Linked DNA regions of Mus musculus. Each later gene encodes a partner of the first gene's protein in a complex. Links are inferred from orthologs where the notes say so. Each region holds a gene or a part of one and is shown on either strand. Other genes may lie near its edges. The genes, in order: Cdc45 and Mcm3.

What was found.
Region 2: Cdc45 (region 1) and Mcm3 share a complex: the UniProt entries of both Homo sapiens proteins name them as parts of the CMG helicase complex. The link is inferred for Mus musculus from reciprocal best matches to the Homo sapiens genes CDC45 and MCM3.

The regions. Positions count from the first base shown.
Region 1 is NC_000082.6:18,808,898-18,813,502, reverse strand, and holds the start of Cdc45 (cell division control protein 45 homolog), read left to right. Parts: upstream 1-1,530; 5' UTR 1,531-1,937; coding exon 1,938-1,988; intron 1,989-2,138; coding exon 2,139-2,198; intron 2,199-3,021; coding exon 3,022-3,114; intron 3,115-4,605. Other genes in the region: Ufd1 (ubiquitin recognition factor in ER-associated degradation protein 1), read right to left, coding at 1,086-1,088. UniProt on the Homo sapiens protein: Required for initiation of chromosomal DNA replication. Core component of CDC45-MCM-GINS (CMG) helicase, the molecular machine that unwinds template DNA during replication, and around which the replisome is built.
Region 2 is NC_000067.6:20,817,280-20,821,777, reverse strand, and holds the start of Mcm3 (DNA replication licensing factor MCM3), read left to right. Parts: upstream 1-1,465; 5' UTR 1,466-1,569; coding exon 1,570-1,647; intron 1,648-3,872; coding exon 3,873-3,985; intron 3,986-4,326; coding exon 4,327-4,498. UniProt on the Homo sapiens protein: Acts as a component of the MCM2-7 complex (MCM complex) which is the replicative helicase essential for 'once per cell cycle' DNA replication initiation and elongation in eukaryotic cells.

The DNA.
Region 1 (4,605 bases):
AGTGCTGGGATTAAAGGCGTGCTTCAGTCTTTTATCTTTTTCTTTAAGTACCAGAACTGTGTGACTCAGTCTTAGGTGCATAACCCACAAAGCCCTTTTTTGAGCCATGGGGTTGGGGGGTGGGGGGTGTGTGCTCGTCAAAGCATCTTCACCTATGCCATCCATCTAACCTACTGCTTCTCTCTGGAACATAAACAACGTACATGAAGTATGCAACACCCGAACGGTATCCTTCCAACTCAGCCACCAATGAACATGAGCTTCTATCATCCATGTTACTTCCTTTAAAGCTTTTATGCCTAACACATCAAACACTCAGTGCTGGTTATGTAAATGAACTTAGACAGGGACTTACTGTGACACTCAGGATAAAAATCTAATAATCACTTCTTGTTTTTAACAAACAAACAAATGGCACGGAGTCAACACTATATACAGGAGTGATGAGACATCACTGCAGCCGGATGGACTTGACTTCCAACCTCTGAGCCTCACTTTCCTGAGTACCACCTCTCTAAGTTTTAGTTCTACCGGTAAATATAATAACTACGTACCTATGTTCCATGGGGAATGCAGGAATTAAATAAGTATACGTTGATAGAAAAAAGGCGCACTACATATTACCTATTGTCGTTATCACAACGTGATGAACACAACGTGACATACAGCCTAAGACATGATTTCTACTAAATAAAAGGTCAGGGAACTTTGGCTGAGCTTAATGTCCTTCGTTTTCTCCTCCCTCGCGCCACTCCCCCAAGAAATCTCCAGTTAACTCCGAGTTCATGGAAACTTGTTGCGTGTCGAGCACTTATGAGAACTATCGACATAAAGTAGCAGGTTCCTTTTTACTCTCGGGGCTGCTGTCCCGCCGAAAGGCATTCGAGTCATGACTCGGACAAGCTAAGAAGAAAAGAGGTGGCTCGTAATTATGGGTCCCACTTGGGACAGAAGCTCTCGGGACAGTGTCGGGGCCCGACGCAGGCCCGGGTGACTCGGCACCTCCGCCACCAGGTCCAGGCCCTCCCTGCCAGCTCCAGGGGCAACTCTGGCATCATCCGGTTCGCGATCCCCGGTCAACTCACCATGACTGACAGCGTTTGGTGATGCCGCTTCTTTTCCTGAACCTTACAATAAAAACCCACAGCTCCCTCTTTGCAGTCCAGGCCACTGCTCTGAAACCCAGAAACCGCGAGAGGCTCGCCGGAAGTGACGGAACACCGCAGGGGATGGGGTACGGAGGCCTGAAGTCAGCGGCGGAAAAACAGAAAGTCATGGGAAGGCCTGAGGTTTGAATATTACTTAAAGTAAACATTAAAACACTTGATAATTGATTTCACAGGATAGCGACTGTTTATAATGTTTAGATAGTACTCTCTTCCAAACAACTTGATAGGAGCCGTTCTCCTTACGGACTACAATACCCAGAATGCAGCTAGAGTTTCCGGCGTTGATCCCGGCCATCATGGATTCGGGCGGAAGTAATCTATAGCTCACTCTAATTCGACGAACCGTGTATTGGAAACTTATTGGAAACACATTCAAATAATGTGTGACTGAATTTACTTTATGTCTAAGAGTATATTGTTTTCTAAGTATGCCAGGGTCAGATAATAGACCTTCCTTCCCGAAGTAAAGATGTCTGCCAAACATAGGTGGTTTTGGGTGACTGGACGTTAGCGTCAACACCGGCAACAAGGTTCGCAGCCTGAGGAAAGATGTTTCATTTTTTGAGGGACGGGCGGGTCTTATCCAGCTGCGAATAGCAGAGCATTATTGGCTGTCCCCAGTAGGAACCAATCAGAAAGGAGGAAAGGCTAAGAATTATTGGCTGCTGGCGTGGACCAATCAGAAGAGCTGTGATTTGGCGGGAGTCTTGACGACCTCCGGGGCTGTCCGTGTCTCAGCGCCAGTTCTAGGTATCCGCCGCTGTGGCTATGTTCGTGACCGATTTCCGCAAGGAGTTCTACGAGACGGTCCACAACCAGGTGACTCCCATTCCACGATCCTGATCCAAACCTTATCTGGGGGCTGGGGAGAAGAGGGCGAGTGTCCGTGGATGGGCCGGGAGGTCAGAGAGTTGCCACAGAGTTTAGCGTCCCTGTGTTCAACTCATCTGTCCACGTTTGCTTCTACAGAGGGTCCTTCTCTTTGTGGCCTCGGACGTGGATGCCTTGTGTGCTTGCAAGATCCTCCAGGTGAGCTTTGAATACCTTAGGAAGGTAGGACAGGAGGGAGAGGTGACAGATCAGGGTTGGCCCCAGCAGGGGGTAGGTCACAGAAGGGGAGGGACCAGAAGGAGCAGGCAGGAGGTGAGGAACCCAAAATATCCTCTCTGACCTATACTGGAGCTAGAGAGAAGTATAGTGCAAACAGTGAGACAAGTACGTAGTGTTTTATACAGTAACCCAAGTGAAAATGGTTTCACTTCTGAAATCTTTGAATTTGTAAATGACCTCTCAAAGATGGAATTTGAGAGAGGAGATGTGACAGTGGGGAGTGGTATAATAGGGAGTGCAGGAAATACAGGAGCCCCGAGTCTATTAGAGAAGATTGTTAGTTTGGGCTCTGACCATAGTGTGGTTTGTTTTTTTGTTTTTGTTTTTTCAAGACAGGGTTTCTCTGTGTAGCCCTGGCTGTCCTGGAACTCACTTTATAGACCAGGCTGGCCTCGAACTCAAATCCATCTCCCTCTGCCTTCCGAGTGCTGGGATTAAAGGCGTGCGTGCGCCACCACACCCGGCTCATAGTGTGGTTTTTACAATGTGCTGGGGTTAGGAATTTTTCAGAACCCCTGTAATTAAAATTAGGGTATTTTTTTTCTCTTAATGTTTTACTTTGGCACACTGTACAGATTCAGATTGAATTCTTGCTCACAGCCTTGCCACGTAGCTTCTCCTATTGACCTTTTACCAAACAGCATATCACATAGATCTTTGTCTCAACTCAACTAGTCTGCTTCTGGTGATTGCAGGTAAGTTATCTTTAATGAGGGTTTCTGACCACATGCTCTCTCTCCAGGCCCTGTTTCAGTGTGACCACGTCCAGTATACGCTGGTTCCGGTTTCTGGGTGGCAAGAACTTGAAACTGCATATCTTGAACATAAAGAGCAGGTATGAACTAATGAATTGGAGAATAATTAGGCCACTCTACTCAGTGGCAGGTTCTTAATACTTAGCATTTGTCCAGTTCTGAAGTAGGAGAAGGGTGTTTTTGAAGTATCAGTTTTATTAGGCTTAAAGTTATGGTGGCGGAATCAACATTTGCCAAGGAACCACCAATTTAAGGTAGGTTTGAACTACATCTAGCAAGACTGAGGCCAGCCTGGGCTACACGACAAGATCCTGTCTCAAAAATAAAAACAGTTTAGTTGTGGGCAGCACCTACTCTGACCTCACTTGTTGTTTCCATTTATTTATTTATTTTGTATCCCATATCAGCCTCCTTCCTCCTAGTTACCCCCCCCCACAGTACCTCCTCCTATTCCCTTTTCTGAGAAGGAGAACCACCCCCCCTTACAGGGTGTTACCCCCCCCACCCCCACCCTCCCAGCTCATCAAGTCACTGCAGGACCTCTCCCACTGAGGCCAGACAAAACAGCCCAGTTAGGGGAATGGAATCCACATAAAGGCAACAGAGTCAGAGCAGCCCCCTCTTGAGTTGTTGGGGATCCACGTGAAGATGAAGCTGCACTTGCTACATATGTGTGCAGGGGGAGTGGGGGGCAGCAGGCTAGATCCAGCTCATGCTTGCTCTTGGGGAGGGGGTTCAGTCCTAACCTCACTTATTTCATTAGGATACACTACTGCTCTATGTTATCTCTAGAAAATGCATTCCAGTTATCAAACACGTTTTCACTTTGGAATTAAACGGTAGAACCAAGACTCCTTACCTCTGCCTGGGACCAGATGAGAATGGGTTATTGAAGGCCCTATAGGGAATGGGTAGGGCATGTCAAAATGCATTTGGAGTCCCTGGCTGCTTCTAGGATGACTTGGAAGAGATTCATTTATAATTTGAAGTACTTATATCAGTCGAGTTTTTTACCTCCAGTATTTTGAGACAAGATCTTATTTGCTAGCCGAGGACAATCCTCCTTCCTTGGCCTTCAAAGTGTTGTATTACAGGTGTGAGCCCATAGGCAGGCAATTTGGTGTTACTAAGGAAAGGTTTTACCTATAGTGATTGTTTGATAAAGGATCTAATATTGAGGAGGCCACGTGAGGCTGCCCAAGATTTACTGCAAGCCTAACCCACACAGTGCTGGTGATGTGGTAAGCTGTAGGGGACATTGCAGCAACATTTTGGCATTGAGCAACAGCCCGCGAGACTGGTATGTGTGTGTGTGAAGTCCTGCTCCTGTTCTTCATTAGCTATTTGTGTACAAGTCTTGAGTTTGCAGAGCCTCGGCGTGCTCTTCAGGAAGCAAGAAGAGCCCCAGAACCTATTTTACAGTGTCATCATGGAAAGGCTGTAACCAAGCCAGCTGTGAGCAGTTTTCAAGCCACTTAGCATTCCTCCTGGGCCTTGCCATAATGTGCTCAATGGAGGAGCACAGGGACTGGCAGTGCTGGGGAGGAGCGGCCTCCTAGGTGCAGTGTCTC
Region 2 (4,498 bases), on another chromosome or scaffold:
CCTAGCATCTTCCTCTCTTCTACTTTATCTTGCTTCTTTATAGTCACAGCTATCTCTTTGATTTTGGGTGGCTGTGCAGAAAGCTCAGATGATGATCTGAGGGCATAACCCTTCCTTCACACAGGACTTCACCTGCTTCAGAAACTCCTCAGCCAGCAGGATCACCACGGTGGTGCCATCACTAGTGTCAGTGTCTTCGGATCCGGCAATGTCCACTAAAGTCTTTGCTGCAGGATGTCCACCATCGAGGAGTTTCAGAAGTAGAAATTGTTGTTTTGCCTTGGCCATCCACAATAAGTTGCCATGAGGACCCAGGGTGGTCTTATAGCCCCAGCAATCACTTGGCAAACACAGACAATGTTACTCACGAGCTGTTACTCATGAGTTGAGGAATGCCTTGAGAGCTATCAGTCCCCTCTTTCAACAGGATAACATGGTGGGCATCATCTTGGAAGCGGCATCCGGTACCCATAACTCATCTGTTCTCCACTTCAGGGTCGCCCACTCCAAGTGTTTTCTTTGGGCTGGAGACAGAAAAAAAGGAAGTACTTTGTATACTTTGCAATGCCTTGATTTTGACTGTTTCTGCATGCTGCTTTCCAGGCAGCCTCTTAGCAATTATTTCACCTTGTAAATCAGCCTTGGCCCATTAGTGCCTAAGGCAGAAAGCCAACAGATAGCAAGCAAAGCAAGCATGTGAACAGCAGTGGAACCCTTAGATATACTAACTATGCTTTTTTTTTTTTTAACAATCTGATTTTCTGCTTATCTATCTCATGACCTTGTGAAAGTGGGGAGAAATACGAATTATATATCTCTGTGTCTTCAAGGTTACAGATCAAGATACAGCAAATCAAGGCTGTGTTAAAGGCAATAGCATGATTCCGTGAATAAAATTTGTCTTTACACCATTTCTAACTTGCTCTTGGAATACTAGTGATGGCTTACTGGAGAATTTTGAATTCAGATTCCTCATTTTGTATAGGAGGAAATGAAGGCTAGAAGACAAAGTGTGTTAGAATCAATAATATGGAGGCTAAAGAGATGGGTCAGTGGGTATCCTGTTCGTCTTTCAAAAATACAAGGTGGAGAAAGATTGAGGAAGACACCGGATATCAACCTTTGGCCTTCATTTGTACCTGTGCATATGGGGTGCAAACTTAGACCTCCCCCCTCAGTAAATCCTAACTTCCGATTTGACAAAACTTCCTACAGGCAAAGAAAAAAAAAAAAGAAAAGAAAAACAGGGGGTGAGGTGGGAAGGACCACAACTCCCAGAATGCAGTGCTTCCTAGCCTTCCTGTTGCTCAATTTCCAGGGGGTGGGTTTTGAGCGTCCTCTCTGTACCATTGGTCAGACTTCCTATTAGGGCGGAGAAAGTGACCATTTCTCTCCAATCCAGGCACGGAATGAAAGGCTATTGAAGTGGTTAGCCAATCATAACGCGTCTCTGCTCCATGCTTCCTCCACCATAAACTTCCGTGGCGGGAAAACTTGGGAAGTTTTGGCGCCAAGGCGGTGTCACGCGTTTCCGGACTGTTTGGTGGCCGGCGATTTCGGAGCTGCGACATGGCGGGCACAGTAGTGCTGGATGATGTGGAGCTGCGGGAAGCGCAGAGAGACTACTTGGACTTCCTGGATGACGAGGTGAGGCTCGGGCCGCGAGCCCGGTGCTGGGGTCCCGCGGGTGACCGGGCACGGCTGAGGGGGTTCCCGCGGGTGACCGGGCACGGCTGATGGGGTTCCCGCGGGTGACCGGGCACGGCTGATGTGGTCCCCGCGGGTGACTGGGCACGGTGCTGGGGTCCCGCGGGTGACCGGGCACGGCTGAGGGGGTTCCCGCGGGTGACCGGGCACGGTGCTGGGGACCCCGCGGAGGACCAGGGCCGCTGATAACTTCTTTTCTCTGCAACTTCCTGTTATCTTTTTTTCTCTCCTAAAGATGTACCTCCAGATTTTAAAAGTTACATTCTTTTCATGTATTAGTTTCGTTATGAAATTTCATAAACACATAATGTATTTTGGTCATATTTCTTTCTTATCACTCCCTCTTATAATTACTGCTACTGATCCCCATAGCCTACTTGACATGGTACCCAGGCCTTGTGCTTGCCGTCTTCCTCTGAGCAGCCTATTTTTCTTGAAACCTCTTACATTAGGATATGTTAACTATACATACGGGTTACATTATGAAACTTCATAAGCACATAATGTATTTTGATCATTTTCATTTTCTCATTATCTCCTCTTGTCATTTTCTTGCTCCTGTATATCTTCATGAGTTACTAGGGTTTTCTCCAAAGTAATTTAGTTTGTCTCTAAATTCATGTGTTCCCCCCAAACCCCACACAACTTGCAAGGAGACTGGTCAGGTGTAAACAGGCTCTTCTTTGGAAAAGCTAATGTAACTGGCTCAGAGCCCTCAGATTTAATGACTGGCCTGATGCTGGTGAGGGTAGGAGCGAGACTAACAATTTATGACAGCTCTCTTTTTAGTGAATCAAGTGTTTTGTATGCAGGTAAAATGGGTTTAAGTGTAATCCAAAATTTAAAGCTATAGGATGTTGATGAGCCCTGGAAGTTTGTTGATCAATGAAAAGCAATTTAAATTTGAATTTTAAGAGTATTTAAATTACATTTCAAATATACATCATGATTTTGAAATATGTCTACAGTCAGGTGTGCTAACATCCAGATTTTAAAGTTAAATTTTCATATTGCAAGTTTTTTTGTTTGTTTTTACTAAGTCTTTAAGACTTAGGCCATTCTAATTCCCAATTAAAATGTAAGCATATAGGAGAACTGTTAATGATCATGATAGTATGTGATAGGGCATGCTGGACAGGAGGAAAGGGTTGTCTGCAGCTGTCTACTTCCTGGGCACCGTTGAGACATATATCAACATGCTGGCATCCTCATGTGTAAGTGACATAGTGGCTAGTGTCATCTTTGCTGGTGTAGGCTTTAAGTAGCTCCCAAGTCCCTGCTTAGGACTTTTGAATACCTTTATGCTGACCTCCCATGGTATAAATAGAACCCTCCCCCACCCCCACGATCAGTAACCCCTTTATAAATTGAATGCTCAGTGGTCCTTAATGCTCTATTGATAGAGACAGCAGGTGTGTTCTCCTTGTCCAGAAAGGCATACACCTGTTTTATAATGTAGGAAAGAACATTTTTCCGCTGAAAGACAGAAGTACGTTACACCAGAGGGCAAGAACACAGAACTGACCACCCAGCCTTTATGTAATATGTCCTTAAGTACCCCCAAGTTCTTGATGCAGTTGTAGACCCCACTGCTGAGCTTGCCTGCCTTCTGACCTTCTAATATTACTGGAATCCCTTAGATTCAGGACAGGCTTACTCTCACTCGACGATACCCCTTTCTACCAGTGTTTACAGCTTGTCACTGTGTACCCATCTGCTTGCTTGTTCTTTTGGCTGTTGCTCTTGAAGGAATCTTACTCTGTAGCCTAGCTTTGGACTCAGAGGTGATCCTCCTGCCTCCGATGCCTGAGTGCTGGAATTGTAGTTTAGCTCCATGCTCTACCTGAATTCAATTTTTCCTCTTTGTATCTCCTAGGCAGCTTTAGAGATCCAAGCTTGCTATGAATAAAACCAAGACCCTGTAGAAAGGGGACCCTCAGTTTCTTAGGTGACATTGACTTTATGATTCTTAGAGTCTCTTAATAGATTGTAGGTGAGGTCTGAGGCCAGCGGGTGAAAGGGGGAGACTGAAAAACAGACTTTGCGTTCATCTGGGCCCAGAGGTTTTGTTTCCAGGGTTGCTTCTGGTCTGAAACACATTTGACTTGTGTCCTAATTTAATATGTCAAATCACTTGTTCAATATGTCTTATTGGCGCTTCGCAGGAGGACCAAGGCATTTACCAGAACAAGGTTCGGGAACTGATCAGTGACAATCAGTATCGGCTGATTGTCAGCGTGAATGACCTGCGCAGGAAGAATGAAAAGAGGGCTAACCGGTGAGCCGTGACAGGGTTTCCCGGGGGCCCGCTGCTTTGGAGGGAGAGAGGAAGGCATCCTGTTTAGATTGGGAAGACCTAGAGTGCATGGGCTTCACCTACATACAGGCTGTCGTTGTCGTCTCCCAGAGAAGAGGTGGTCTCAGGTACTCCCATCTTCCAGTGTTGTGTTGAGCATCCTTTTTTACATGTTTGATGAATTGAGAATAACTTCAGTCTTACACAGTGGTAGCACAAAGTAGACATGGATTTCCTTTCTCTGACCCGAGGTTGTTCCTTCCTGTTTCTAGGGTCAGCTTCCTGAGCTCTGTCTAACTGTTCTTTGTCTCAACCCCACGCAGCCTCCTGAACAATGCGTTTGAGGAGCTGGTTGCCTTCCAGCGGGCCTTGAAGGATTTCGTGGCCTCCATTGACGCCACCTACGCCAAGCAGTATGAGGAGTTCTACATAGGATTGGAAGGCAGCTTTGGCTCAAAGCACGTCTCTCCCCGGACTCTCACTTCCTGCTTCCTC